Linked DNA regions of Notamacropus eugenii. The protein of the gene in region 1 interacts with the protein of each later gene in a biochemical or structural test. Links are inferred from orthologs where the notes say so. Each region holds a gene or a part of one and is shown on either strand. Other genes may lie near its edges.

What was found. The genes of interacting proteins can lie anywhere in the genome.
Region 2: of the proteins of NEDD4L (region 1) and SGK1, one has a biochemical effect on the other in vitro, tested with the Homo sapiens proteins (5 studies listed by BioGRID). The link is inferred for Notamacropus eugenii from reciprocal best matches to the Homo sapiens genes NEDD4L and SGK1.

What each region holds. Positions count from the first base shown.
Region 1 is NC_092875.1:431,905,982-431,913,202, forward strand, and holds the start of NEDD4L (E3 ubiquitin-protein ligase NEDD4-like), read right to left. Parts: upstream 3,017-7,221; 5' UTR 2,923-3,016; coding exon 1,732-2,922; intron 1-1,731. UniProt on the Homo sapiens protein: E3 ubiquitin-protein ligase that mediates the polyubiquitination of lysine and cysteine residues on target proteins and is thereby implicated in the regulation of various signaling pathways including autophagy, innate immunity or DNA repair.
Region 2 is NC_092873.1:220,168,061-220,175,302, forward strand, and holds the start of SGK1 (serine/threonine-protein kinase Sgk1), read right to left. Parts: upstream 3,015-7,242; 5' UTR 3,000-3,014; coding exon 2,931-2,999; intron 1-2,930. UniProt on the Homo sapiens protein: Serine/threonine-protein kinase which is involved in the regulation of a wide variety of ion channels, membrane transporters, cellular enzymes, transcription factors, neuronal excitability, cell growth, proliferation, survival, migration and apoptosis.

The DNA.
Region 1 (7,221 bases):
CTGGGGATAATACTTCTAAAATGTCAGCAGCCTCCTAACCCTTTCTGTGGGATTATTCTACTACTTTATGAGGGATAGCCTTAGGCTAAAGCAATGATGAAACCCACAGCTGTTTACTGGAAAGGGGTTAAAGATATGTAAAAAAGGAAGGGAGTGGGGTGGACTGAGAGAGAAAAGAGCAAAGATGGGGAGTTGAATAAAGTCATCCAGGAGAAAGCATTTACTGCACCCTTGAAAAAGTGGCATAGTGAACTTAGTAGTAGAGCTGGGATATCAACCAGTCTAATAATTATTTATGAAGCTAATGTTACAGATCATCACAACTCCCACATAAAATAGAAAGTAAGCATCACCTATAGAGCAAAACAGTGCAAAACATATATATATATCTGCATGCATATGTATACACATATGTGTGTACATGGGTATACATACATGTATATATATACAGTGTTATGTGCGTACATACATATATACACACATACATACCATCAGAAACATAAGCTTTTTAGTAAAGTAAGGATGCTACATGATGCTCCAAGACAAAATAATACTAACAATAATGGAAAACACAGGGAATGAATTCTTTTAGAAAGCACTTAAATCTAGTGGTTATAAACAAAAGAAATCAATCTGATTCAAGTTTCCATATCACTTGCTCAGCCAGATAGAAAGTATGAGAGCTGCAGAGTCATCATATGGCTGGGTGAAGTAAGCAGCTGTCTTTCTGTGCTACATTTCACTGAAAGGGAGAGCCTAGGAGAAGAGGAACACACACAAGCAGCAAAGACCAGAGTCTGTGAGAGTGAGTCTGTTTTCACAGCTGGAGATAGGGCACTTACTATGCTATATACAGCATCACTGAGCCTGGAGTCTCAAGTGGGCAGTGTTAAATTGCACTGTAATGCAACCTGAGAATTAATGATTCCCCATAAAAGTTTTACCCATGCTTGGTCCAAAAAGTTATTTCGCTTCAAAAATAAGTAACATATCACATGTACTGCATCACTATTCATGTGGAGTACACTTCTTAATTAATCAAAGCAGACAAAAGTATCTGAACTAGACTGACTCCTAACACAGCAGAAAAGAACTTTGGGACATGTATTAATGTAAACATTTTAATTAGTTAAGACAAACTACGTCATTATTTCCCTATTTCCTAACACTTTCAAGCACAGATTACTTTTGATAAAAAGGCCCAGCACAGGATGAACCTGCAAATAGGTTCCTTATGGATTTTCCAACATTAGCACGTGTTCTTTGGCTAGGTTTGATTTTTGGCTTAAGTTTATTTTGGGGTGGGAGGGATGAAGTGAGAATGGACTTGCTTTTTGAGCACTGACAAAGGGAAATCATTATATTTCACCAAATTGAGAACATGGCTATATTTGCTTCAAACATAAAGTCAGCTAAGGGCCTTTGAAGATTTATAAGGAACAAAACTTTTTAACTGGTAAGTATTTTCTTGCAAAACATCAGTCAGTCTTATTATAACGTTATGATTCCAACCAAGTACTGGACCCACAGATACATATCAAGAACATAAGAGCAACATGACTTGAGGTTAGAAATTATAGGTAACCAGGTTCTTTGAATAGGAAAATTTCAAATGTTATAGAAGAAAGTTTCTTTTAGCTGTAATACAAAAAAAAAAAAATTCCCAATTTGAACCCATTATTTTTGTCTAATGTTCAAATAGGAACATGGCACATTCGATGGCCAACTTACCAGAGTGTTTGCTGCAGTAGAAGCAGGTGTGTCTGAACTATTCTCTTCAAGAGTCTGGTGAGGTTCTTCATGACCACGAGTAACAAGAATTCTAAAGTGTTGTTGTCGGGAATTCTGATCTTGCCTGATCTTAAAAGTGCAGCCCTTATTCTGTGGAATCCTTTCTATGGAGTTACTCCTTTGTATTTCAGGACAATTCCTCCCATTGTTAGGAGGTTCTGAATTCACCCTGTCTTCCATTGGGCTGACTCGTTCAGGTCGAGGTTGGACTGGATAGGAGGTACTCCTCTCTAGCCTTATTCTTGGATACCTGACCAACCTGTCCCCCTTTGTTCCAGTAAATCCAAAATTGAAATCACCACCAAGGCTTGGAGTGCTTGCTTGGGGTTGTTGCAACTGGAAAACAAAACACCTTTTCCCAGAACTAGCAGATACATCTGGCACATGTTGCAAAGACCAACGCCTGGGCTCAGGAGCAGAAGGGTTGTTCTGAACCTCTGATCCAAAGGGCAAGAGTCTAACCTGACGCATATCTGCGCTCGAAGCACGATGCTGAATTCTCACTCCAGTTATGTTGGAACCTGAAGCATTTTCATTGCCTTCTACACCCTGGGCAACTGAGGGGACAGCATCACCTTGGTTATCTGAAGGAACAGTACAAAACACTCTGTGACTGCAAGTATTATTAGATCCATTGACCTGTTGTCCTAAATCATTGACCAACCTTGGTGGAGAATTACTGGGGGATTCTCTTTCTGAAGTTTCTTGGGAGCTGCTTTGGGATGAAGAAGGTCTACTTACTGGTGCAGTAAAATTCTCCCTAAGGTCTGAAAATTTATAGGGAAGGTCCTCATCAAGAGAATCTGGTGCCCCGCACTCATCAGTATGTCCGTTCACAGCTTTGCGCTGCAGGGAGATTTGCACAGATGAGCTCCTTGTTGGACGGGCATCAATGTTATTCAGCAGCTGAGGGATAAACATGGATGTGCTTCGTTTGAGAGATCCAACTTCTTGTAGGCTACCGCCACCATACTCTGCTCCATTTTGAGAGAATGGGTGAGGACTGTTTCTCCTTGGCAAAGTGTGGAATGCCATAAAAAAGTCGTCTTCTCTCTCTCGATCTAGGATCTCTGATTCAGGGGCTGTGTTGCTTCGACCAGAGCCAAAATGAAACCGCAGCCGATGGGCCATGGTTTAACAGGAGGGCAGGAAAGGAAGGGAGACAACAATTCAAGCACTGCCAGAAGTTAAAAATCAAAGACATAAACTCCAAGAAAAATTGTCCCATCTGCCAAACTGTTAGCACTGCACCAACGATAGCGACAGATAGCAGAAATAACCCAAGTGGCAAGCTGCATTCCAGGCATGATTGGATAAGAGGAATCGGAGCTTCTGCACACTGGGACAGAGGGTAGGATGGTTAGAGCCACATGACCTTGTTCTCCCTCTCCAATGCCAGCTTCTGGACTTGGGCTGGTTTTTTTTTTTTTTTTTCTCCCTCTCCCTCTCCCTCTCCCTCTCTTTTAAACAGTAAGAGCCTGAAACAGCACCTTCCCAGCTGCTCTTTTTCCATCAGAAAGGCATTGCCCCAGCGGGCGAGCTCTCACAGCTGACTACAGCAGCAAACACTCTCAGGGCTACTATTAATCTAAATCACATCATATTCACAGGGCACTTCTGAACTAAGCAACACGCGCGCGCACGCTTCCACACATACACACGCACACGCACACGCACGCACACACACACGCGCACACACACAGCACACTCTCCCAAAACACAAAGTGCCTTCCATTAAAAAACAACCCCACATCTTCCCACATCCCCACCACCTCCTCAGAAAGACCAACTTAGAAAGTAGAAATAGGTCTCAGATTTTCACAAGCAGCACCTTTTGTTTGTTTGTTTGTTTTGCCGGGCTATGTATGACATCAACAGACTACTATGGTGGAATGCAAACTAGTAAAAACATACTATAAATATAATTACACACTGCCCAGAAGTAGCTCCCTTTAACGCTAAATAATTAGACTATGATCTACAAGGAAGAAAATATCTATGTGGGGGATGGGAGACAATTTAAAACACTGCTGGAGTTAATACTATGAATCTTGCCACTACCCTGAAACATTTTCTTTAACAGCTACCAATAGGAAAAAAAAGGTTACAAAGAGAATTCTCACCAGAGGAAAGTAAAAGAGCAATAAAAACGCAGCTTGAGAAAATATCGTCCCTCATACATGCCAGGTAGGAATGACTGAAGAAAATCCAAAAAGGTTGGTATATATATACAGATTTGTATTAATTTCATACAGATACCATGCAGAGGCAATGTTGCCCCAAATTAATGCAATTTGGATGCCCATATGGGATATTCTTATGCTTGTTAAGAGCCAAAATGCTTCACAAAATAGAAAGGTTTTAAAATTCATAGAAAGTCATCAATTTCATTCACTCCAAACAACACTTCTAAAAAGAATTATTTATGATTGTCTTTCATGTTAATTCTTTCTCACAGACCAGAAATAGCAATTGTATAGGTTGACCTGGAGTAGGAAAGGAATATAACCCAAATAAAAGGTCTAGACAAGGTTCTATTAAAATCCCAAAGTATAGTTTTGACGACAGATCTGGAATCATGGGTATAGTGTAGGGGGGTGGGTTTGGGCTGGGGGGGAGTCCAACACCATGTTTAGACATCCAAATCTGTTTTCTAGCAGCATGTTTCCAAATGCCAAGATGACCAATTATGAAAAAAATGGAATCTGGCTTGTTCAACACTAAAACTGCCAAGCACCAGCACAATCCCATATTGTCTTTAACAGGCCTCCGCGCCAACAAGAAAGAACACAGCTATTCGTCACACAGTAACAGTGCTGCAGACAGCTTGGTGCAAACCCAGGTGTTAGTATTATTAAACATAATTTTCAGAAAAAGCATTCTTTCTGCAGCAGTGCTTTGGCAAGCACGTCTTATGCATTTTAGACCCTTCTAACAAGGAATGCCTGAGGGGCAAGAGACAGAACACAAAAAATATCTTAAAGGTAGCATAGTTAAATAAAGAAATAAGGGAAATTCTTTTATTTTCATAGTGAAATCTTCTGGACTAGAAACTGTATGTTAAATGCAAAATTAATTTCAACCAAAAAAAAATCCTTTATTTCCTTTCTAGGTATTACGTCTCATTTAATTATCAAGATCTAGTATACTAAAGTTGGTTCTGTCTTCTCTTAAGGCACTATTTAATACAGTCTCTTCCATCTAACTTTTCCTCCCTATGTGCAAATAAAGCACAGAAAACAGCAACCCCCCATTCCAAAATAAACCCCCATCCATTTCTAAGAATAAGCGTATATAAATAACAGAATTTAGATCACTGACAATAAAAATATTAGCATTATTTATATGCTATATGACTATATATAATGTTTTTATAGATTTCCTAGTTCCTAATGTTTTGGAGGTAAAACGGTACATTCACTAACGCTGGACCCATATATATTTTAAAAGCTCCTGAGAGACATGAGAAAGTCTAACTTGTCTGAGATGATTTCTGGAATAACGTTAATCACTGAAGAAGACAAAATGAACATTATTTGATTGTCAAAATGACAGGGCAGGTGCATATCAATTTAAATACAAGAAAACAGCATGGTCAAGAAATACTGCCCCCAAGAACTAGAAGACTTAGGCTTAAATACTGCCTCTGTCTTTGACTAAAAAGCAGCGTGACCTGAGACAAAACCCTTTGCCAACTTGGTGGTCACCAACTCTATTTCTTCATCTGTCAAACAGGGGAGGGGAATGGGTGGACAGAAAGTTGCTTCTGTCTGGATCAATCTGTAAAACTTTATTCTGGTTTGAAAATCATAAGAAAGTACTAAACAATAAGAACCTACATTTTGGGGACAGTGAGTAGAGAAAGAGGGGAAGATAGAATAGTAGTAATAAGATGAGGAGGAGGAGTAATTAGCAGCAGTTGTAGTGGTAGTAGTAGTGGTAGGTAAGAGTAGTAGTAGTAGCAGCAGCAGTAGTAGCAGTTCCAATGGTAGCAGCAGCATTTTATAGTGCCTTCTTTGAGGTTTACCAAATGTTTAACAAATACTATCTCATTCTGTCCTTATAACATCCCTGGGAAGTGGGTGCTGTTATTATCCCCAGTTTCCAGATAAGGAAGTTGAAGCAGAGAGAGGTTAGGACATTGGAGGTGGAGAACGTGGGGCCTCAAGGTCGCATGTGGCCCTCTAGGTCCTCAAGTGCAGCCCTCTGACTGAATCCAAACTTCACAGAAGAAATTTCCTTAATAAAAGGATTTGTTCTGTAAAACTTGGACTCGGTCAAAAAGCCACACCCAAGTACTTAGACGGTCACATGTGGCCTTAAGGCCACAGGCTCCCCACCCTGGGTTGAGTAGTTTGCCCAAGGTCATACAGTTGGTTAGTTGCTGTGGTTAGATTTGAATCCTGGTAAACTGATTTTTCTGCTATATGATTGTGGAGATTGCTATAGATGATACAGACGTAATAATGATCTTTTTTTCCCCTTTTAATAAAGGGTCTGCTTAGCTGTATAATATATTTTCCTCATTTAAGCAAAATGAAGAAACAAAATCTCAAATTGAAAAGCTGATCCTCTTTTTGCATTTTTTTCCTAATGTTTATCTGTAGACTATTTTAATTAAGCATTCCAGATAGAAATTTTCCTTCTATACTTTGAAGACAACTAACCATCTTTTGGGGGCAGGTAGGCGGTGCGATGGAGTCCGGAAAGACTCACCTTCCTGAGTTCAAACCTGGCCTCAGATGCTTATTAGCTGTGCAACTGTGGGCAAGTCACTTAACCCTGTTTATTTTAGTTTGTAAAATGAGCTGGAGAAGGAAATGGCGAAGCACTCCAGTATCTCTGCCAAGGTAATGCCAAATGGGGTCACAAAGAGTTGGACATGACTAAAAAACCACTGAACAACAAAAAAACACTTTTTAAAAACTGTCATGAATTTTTTTTTCTCTCCTAGGACAATCCATCCCTCTTTTCAAGTTGTTAGATATATCTTGAACTACACTACCCAAAGAAAAGCCATGTGGACAAGTATACTTTGGGATTCCACAAAGTTAGTTTACGTATAATGAATAATCCTTACACAATTATATCACCATTCTGTGTACCAAATCTCAGCACGTAAAGAGTTTATGTGAGCATTAATGGGTTTTATTTTTACTTACTGGGAGAAAAAAACACACACATACACAAATATCCTTAATCTTCTCCTGCGCCATTACCACATAATTAGCACAAATATAGATGAGGAATATTTAAAATTTTTTAAATATCTGGATATTATTACATAAACTACTCTGACCCATACCATACATGTTAACATGAATGTAGATGGCTAGACAAAGTGTCATTGAAAGTTGCATGCATTGAGATTCAGAGTGATCTAGGTCCAAGTCTTTTCTCTGCACATACTATCTGTACGATGCAGACAAG
Region 2 (7,242 bases), on another chromosome or scaffold:
AAAAACCCTCTAGGTTTTCATTCAGGACTTATCCAGAATTCTCCGTGGGCACCAAACAAAGATTCATTTTACAAGATTTTCCAACTAGGTTAAAACATGATATGCAGTTATGCCTGGAATCTCAACCATAGAATTCAAAAATAAAAGGATTATTCTTTTAGGAAAATCCAATACCATGAAACAAGGCAGAGTAGTGCAGTAATAGGACAGAGTGGCAAATTTGGTTTTAAAGGACTTGAATTCCAGTCCTGACACCACTCTGGGAACTGGATAACCTTAGGCAAGAAATGTAAGGTCTTGGGGTCTCCATTCTTTATTTGTTAAATGAGAAACTAGAATTTGGACGTTTCTAACTGGACACACTTGAACTACTTTTTTTAAGTATTTTGATAACTGTACTTCAGCAAAATTGGTTTTCTTTGTAATCCTATTTTAAAACATTATTTTAAGAAGCAATATACATAGACTTCACCAGACTGCCAAAGGCAACCATGGTAAAAAGATTATGAAGCCTTGGACTAGATGATCTCCAAGATTTTTTTTCCTATTTTAATGCTATCTATTATCATAAGTTGGAATCAACTTTGAAAATATAGGACTTAGGGTATGATGTCATTGAAAAATCAAGGAACCTAACTCCTAAGTTGAAAGCTCTACCTACCTAGTCATGGTGATATCCTCGTCATCTTTTAGTGGACAAAGGACAAAAAAAGAGTGGGAGAGTATTTGAAACCCTGTCTCTACTTCCAGCAATCTGATAGGTACAGATCAGTAGGCAGATCAAACACATGGCTAGTCATCTTGGTGTAACTTGTTTTGCTTCCATTCTCATCTTTTATCCACCCCAAATAAAAGGTAGGTAAATTCCCTTGGTCTATTTAAATGTATACATATATATACATACTTATGTATACACACACATATATACATATGTATACACACACATATGTATCAAGGATTGATATAGCACCAAATGGGTAATTTGGTAGTTTGTGGTTTTTAGCAGAAGGGCAGCAGATGGTTAATTAGTATTGCAATGAGCACATTTCCTTTGCAAGATACATGAAAGGCAACTTTTTAAAAAACCAAAACGATTCTGTAATGGTACAATTGAATAAGGATACCTGCTTTCTTAAAACTATTAAAGCAAAAATACAAAACAATCCCTCCCACCCACCCCACCCCCCAAAAAAACAAACGATGAATTAATAGAATTATTTCAGGGAGAAACAGGATAGTTTTATTAGCAGATGGTTCACTGACTGCTGATATATGTGACCACCATTATCTTTCAAGGACAGATTTTTATTTTTATATTGGGGGAGAGAGGTAGGCAAAGAGACACCGTAAAGATCCATTTAGTTGTGGTGACTTGATCTTCCTAGGGATCAGTCAGAGCCCTGGTAACAGGCATCACCTGGTATTTATTGCCTCTGCTCTTGCACAAGCATCTTCTAACAGAGAAATAATATTCTTTTCCATGCATTTGCTTTTGCCCCCAGGACCTTTTGGAATGATGTGACTTCAGTAATGAGAAATAAATCAAAGTCTGGCAAAAAAAAAAAAAAAAAAAAAAAAAAAAAGCTCTCCAACCCTCTCATCTTTTCCTGACAAGCTGCTTGTATTTTTCCAGCTTGCTTCTCTGGTGCAGGGAGTTTGCTCATCCCTGCTCATAATTCAACTGACTTGCCTTTCATTGTGTTGTGCTGGCGGGTTAAATGAAGTGAGTGACTGCATTTCTGTTCCTGGCATCTCACCGAGAGTACATGAATGGAGGACAGAAAGAATGAATGAACAAAATAATTTTGATGGGGCTGCCCCAGGGTATTAAACACGATGGGAAGGAGGTGGGGTCAGGCTGTCATTCCCTAAGAAACACTCTTCATTAAGGAGTTTCTGATGTCATTGGGCCACTTAACAAACCCATTCGGCTTACCTCCTACTTGGACATTAATATGTAGGTTTATGTAGACCACCTATGCTGTCTGCACAATGGCATAATTTTATCGTCAAACAGAAAGGAAAATGATATTTCCCTTTTTCTGCCCATTCCCAACGAATGGAGCACAGTGAAATGCTCTGGATATTCTGGTGTGCACATTTAAAAAAATGCATTAATGTATAATAAACACTGAGGTATCGGTCAAATCCAGACCCTTGCTGCTTTCTCTCACAAAAAAGCTCCCCCCCTCCTCCGGAAAAAAACCTCCAAAGGTAATTGTACTAAATTAGCTCAACCAGAACACAGGGGAATTCAAAGAGAGCTCTTGAAGGATGGCCTTCAATATTTCTGATTGAGGTCATGCTTGCCCTTTACTGACTCAGTTCTGAATTACATCTTCTCCCATGAATTGGTGCTGTGGCTAGAGACACAGCCCGTTACAGGTTGGATGATTTGGGGACCCCAGAGGTACTTCTCCTGCTGAGTGAGGACGGTAATGTAGCACTCTAGACAAAGTGAATGAGAGGAGGAAGAAAGTTGAATACTTCAAACATGGAGAGGGGAGAGAAAGGGAAGAGAGAGAGACGGAGAGACAGAGAAACAGAGACAGACAGACTTAGGAGAAAGAGAGAGATACTTCAAGAGCCCCTAACTAAAGCTACAGTTATAACTGGACTTGATCCAATTATGTTTTTCAAAGGTACAGAATCTCTGGTTTTGACAGAGAATCTTTCTTTCCATAGCCGACCCTGTCTCTAGCAATTCCTGCCCATCCCCCTCTCCTCACCTCCCCCTGCCCACCCCCAGCTGCACCTTAGGCAGGTACTCTCTGCCCTTATTTCTCAGTTCATTCACCAGTCTTCCACACACCGCTTTATGGGGGAGGGCTTGTCACCCGAGCAATATTCCCACTTCAGGTCGGCATAAAGACGCATTTCAAGAAAAGAAAGAAACAAAAGGGAGAAAATCGAGCAAGACCCGTCCTTACCCTCTTCTTAAAAAACTGAAAGGCTGAGCATTTCTTGACTGGGAATCCATTCATGTCTTTGTTGACCATCTTCCACAGCGGAGAGTGCACAGTTGGAGGTCCGGTACGGGGCACTGGCTTAGTGCATCGGCTTTCCTCAGTATCCCTTCTGGAGACAGTTAACGAGGAGAGCGGGGCGGACGCAGCACCATCAGATTCCAGGCAGCGAGTCCTCCCTTCACTCATTCATTCTGCTGCACCAGCTACTGCGGAGACCTTCTCCAGCGTTCGGCTGCCATAGGCTAGATCGTTTTTCTTTTAGTCATTCCTCGATTTCACAAACACAACTGCTACACGACCCTGGTGGCAGCCCACAGACCATATGCGGCAAGTCTCCGGGTAATGGGAACCGGCGCCGAAGGATGCCGGGCTCTTTGTAGTATTATTTTTTAATCTAAATAGGAGCACAGGAGAGACTAGGTCCCTCCTGTTTACCTGGCTGCATCCCTCCCGCTCTAGAACCTGGGCTTTCAGTTAGTGGTTCTCCAAGTGATGTCTTGCCGCGGTTGGAGAGGAGAGCTGTTTTTGATTGTGCCGAGTTCCAGTGGGAACTGTAGTTAAGCAGCTGAGAGGGAGCAAGAAGAGAGAGCAGGAAGGAGAGAGGGGCGGAGGGAGGGGAGAGAGAAGGAGAGAGGGGGGGGGGAGAGAGAGAGAGAGAGAGAGAGAGAGAGAGAGAGAGAGAGAGAGAGAGAGAGAGAGAGAGAGAGAGAGAGAGGAGAGAGAGAGAGAGAGAGAGAGAGAGAGAGAGAGAGAGAGAGAGAGAGAGAGAGAGAGAGAGAGAGAGAGAGAGAGAAAGGGGAGAATGAGAAGAGGAGAATGAAAGAGAGGAGAGGAAAGAGGAGAGAGAGACAGAGTGAGAGACAGAAGCAGAGAGATACATAGAGAGACAGTGCAAAGGAATAACTGAGCAAGGATAAATTAACCAAAAGGCTTTCTGGGATGAATACAAAAATAGTCCCCCTCCACACCCCTCTTTTTTGTTGTTGTTTGGACCATTTAAGTCACAGCCTTAAAAAGAAATGTGCTCACTTCCTTATGAAATGCAGGCGACTTTGAGTTTCATGATTCTCTAAAACAATTGACTATATTTTCTTCAATAAAAGCCTTTTGAATGAAAATATAATTTGATTTATTTCGTGAAGTGTCCAAATGGAGAGAGAAAGGCAATAAAACTATCCAGAAGATTTCCTCAGGTTAAGAAATATGTTTAATCGCAGGTATCCCAATTGCCAATTTTTCTCCTGAAGGTGACAAAATATCCTTTTTATCTTTCTCTCCCTTGACTTGTCACAATAAGAACATAAGACAGGGTTGTTGTATTATTTTTCACTAAAGGAAACAAGAATACCTTGTACAAATAGTGCTATTTATTTGAAGGCCGTGAGTCTTAGAAAGAAATGATCAAACTCCTTTGGACTGTGGGAAAGAACATCTTTTTTAAGTTAAAGGGATCCAGTTAAGTAAAAATAGAAACAAAGCTTCCTTATCTATGCTATTCTGTATATATCAAATGACTGAAATAGAAATATATAGTCATATAATTTAATCTGGCCACTTTTGCTACTGGATTTTGACAATCCCTTAGAATATCTTTTTTGGATTAAAAAACCTCAAACATTCTGTAGTCTCCAAATAAGAACTGTATATATCATTGTTTGACAGGATAGGTCATTAGGATCACAGAGATTTAGCATCATGTATAGGCTCTGCTACAGTGTTTGACTTTCAGCAAATCACCTGACTACTTTGCACCACCTCCTTACCTCATAATCAAAATGCAGAAAATGTGCAAACTTGCATTAATTTATCCAAAATGCAATGCCTGCTGTGTGATACACAGCCCTGTTTGAGGGCATTGTGAGATAGGGAATTGGGACTGGATCTATCCTTTCACTGGTATTGGAGGTCCCCCCCCCCCAGCAATGCAAATCGACACCTTGTCTGCAATTTAGGGTTTCAGAGAGCTGCCTAGAGCATTGGGAGGTTAATTAACTTCCCCCAGGTTACATAGCCAGTATGTGTGGCAGGCAGAATTTGGACCCAATTCTTCCTGGCTTCAAAACCAACTTTTGATCCATTATACCATAACCCATCTCATCCTAGCGTAGAAATATAAAATAAATGATTGAGTAACTTGCTCAAAGTTATACAGGTGGTAAGATAACACAGGCAGCATTTGAACCCAGGTTCTGTCGTTCAGACTGAATGTTGTTTTCACTGGACCGTGGTCATTCAGTAGACTGAATTTTCTGGAAGACAAATGTAATGTAAGCAGAATTGTTGCTTGCTCTCAGTGGAGTGTGTTGACTTGAACTGAAGGCAGCACATTTCATAACCCAAACCATCCATGCACTAATGGACACTCTAGTGATTTGATGGAGTTAATCAAATAGGAGAGTCATTTATTACTGTGTTAATTGGAAAAAAAAATAGGTTCTTTGGGAAATCTATGTTTTGCATCAAAATGACTTTTAAATCAAGAGGTTCCCCATTTACTAACAAATGGAAAAGAGCAGGTTTCTGAAGCAGGTTTACAAGAGAAAGCGATCATTATCCAGTATGGGGCTTTTTTATCTTTTTTATGTCATGGGATAATATTTGTAAAGAACTTAGCACATAGGTGTTTTATAAATGCTTATTTCCTTTTTCCTTCATGGATCTCCTTGACTGTATAGCGAAACCTCTGGATTCCTTACCAGAGTAATGTTTTTAAACGTATAAAAATAAGTCAAGTCAATACACATTTATTAAATATCTGCTATGTGCCAGGTACTTTGCTAATAACTGGGGATATAAAGACAGAAACAGTTCCTGCTTTCAAGGAGTTTACAATCTAATGGAGAAGACTTATGTGAAACAGCTATATACAAACGAGATAAATAAAAGGCAATGGAAGATAATCACAGGGGGAAGGCATTAACATTAAGGAGGATCGGGAAAGACCTTGCAGAAGGTGAGATTTTAGCTGTCCTGAAGGAAGCCATTGATGACAAAGGAAACCAATTCTGTTGAAATATAATTATCAAAATTTATTTTAAAAAGTCCGTAGGCTAAGAACCTCTAATCCAGTGTAACTGTCTTCCTTTACAGACAGGAAAACCAAGGCCCAGGGAGGTTAGATTATTTGTTTGAGGTCATCCAGCTAGGTAGTGATAGAAACAAGGTTAGAATTAATTTATATCTCCGGATTCTTATTCAGTCATTTCATTCTCTGCTACACCATTCAGCCCAGATCTCTTTTTGAAGCAGGCTTACATGGCATATGATTTTCCTGGAATATGTAATATTACTGTTTTAAAAACCCTGGCTTGTGAATGAGGTGGACTAATTGAAAAAATGGTCCAATTGACTGCACTGTATCAGTTAGGAGGAAGGTGACATCATCGCTTTTACTCCTACTTGTGTTTTCACAAACCTGCAGCCTGGATGCCTGTCCCTGGGTGCATTCACGTAATGATGACTGGCACTAAGGAGCTGGGCCTATCGCCTCTGGCAGGCAGCTGAAAGAGATACACCCTCTCCTCAGGCTGCCATCAGTAGCTGCAGAATCTTGCCATTACTGAAACATCACATTCCACTGGGAGCCGGAGCCCAGCTGAAATGAAACTCCCACAATATTTCCCCCTTCAGCCTGAGAGTCCTATTGAGGATGAATGAGTCTCACTTTCTACTCTGAAGGTCAACTGTCCTTCCAATTCCCTTTTAAAACGACAGAGTAATTTCTATGAAACTGTAACCTTGGTGTTCCACCTCATTCTAATGGAAAACCTCAATGTGTGATGAGATCTCTTGAATGATGTGTTTTCAATTTGAAGTGGAATGTTTTTCTCCTTCCTTTTGGTGGTTGATTCATGCCTTTTTTTTTTTAAATCCTCTCCTTCTCAAATGTGGCTTTGGATTTGAACCTGAGTGTAAGGTAGATGAGATGTAAAACAAAAAAGATTAAATATATCTGTATACATGTATACATACATATTTGAAAATGTTTTGATCTCTTTTTTTTAACATCTCTTTATTTCCAGATGTCTGCCTTCTTTCCTCTACTACCCTGAGCTCCCCTCCAAAAAAAGACAGAGAAGAAAACTAGAGCAAAAATCTTCAGTAAAATTAACCATCATATCAACCAAGTCTGACAGTATGTAGTATATTCTGAATATATAGTTTTGCCTCTACCAAGGAGGAAAGGACACATTTTCATTTGTCATTATATCATTATAATTACACAGTATTTTATACAGGGTGTTCCAAAAGTCTCATTGCAGTTTTAAGCTTT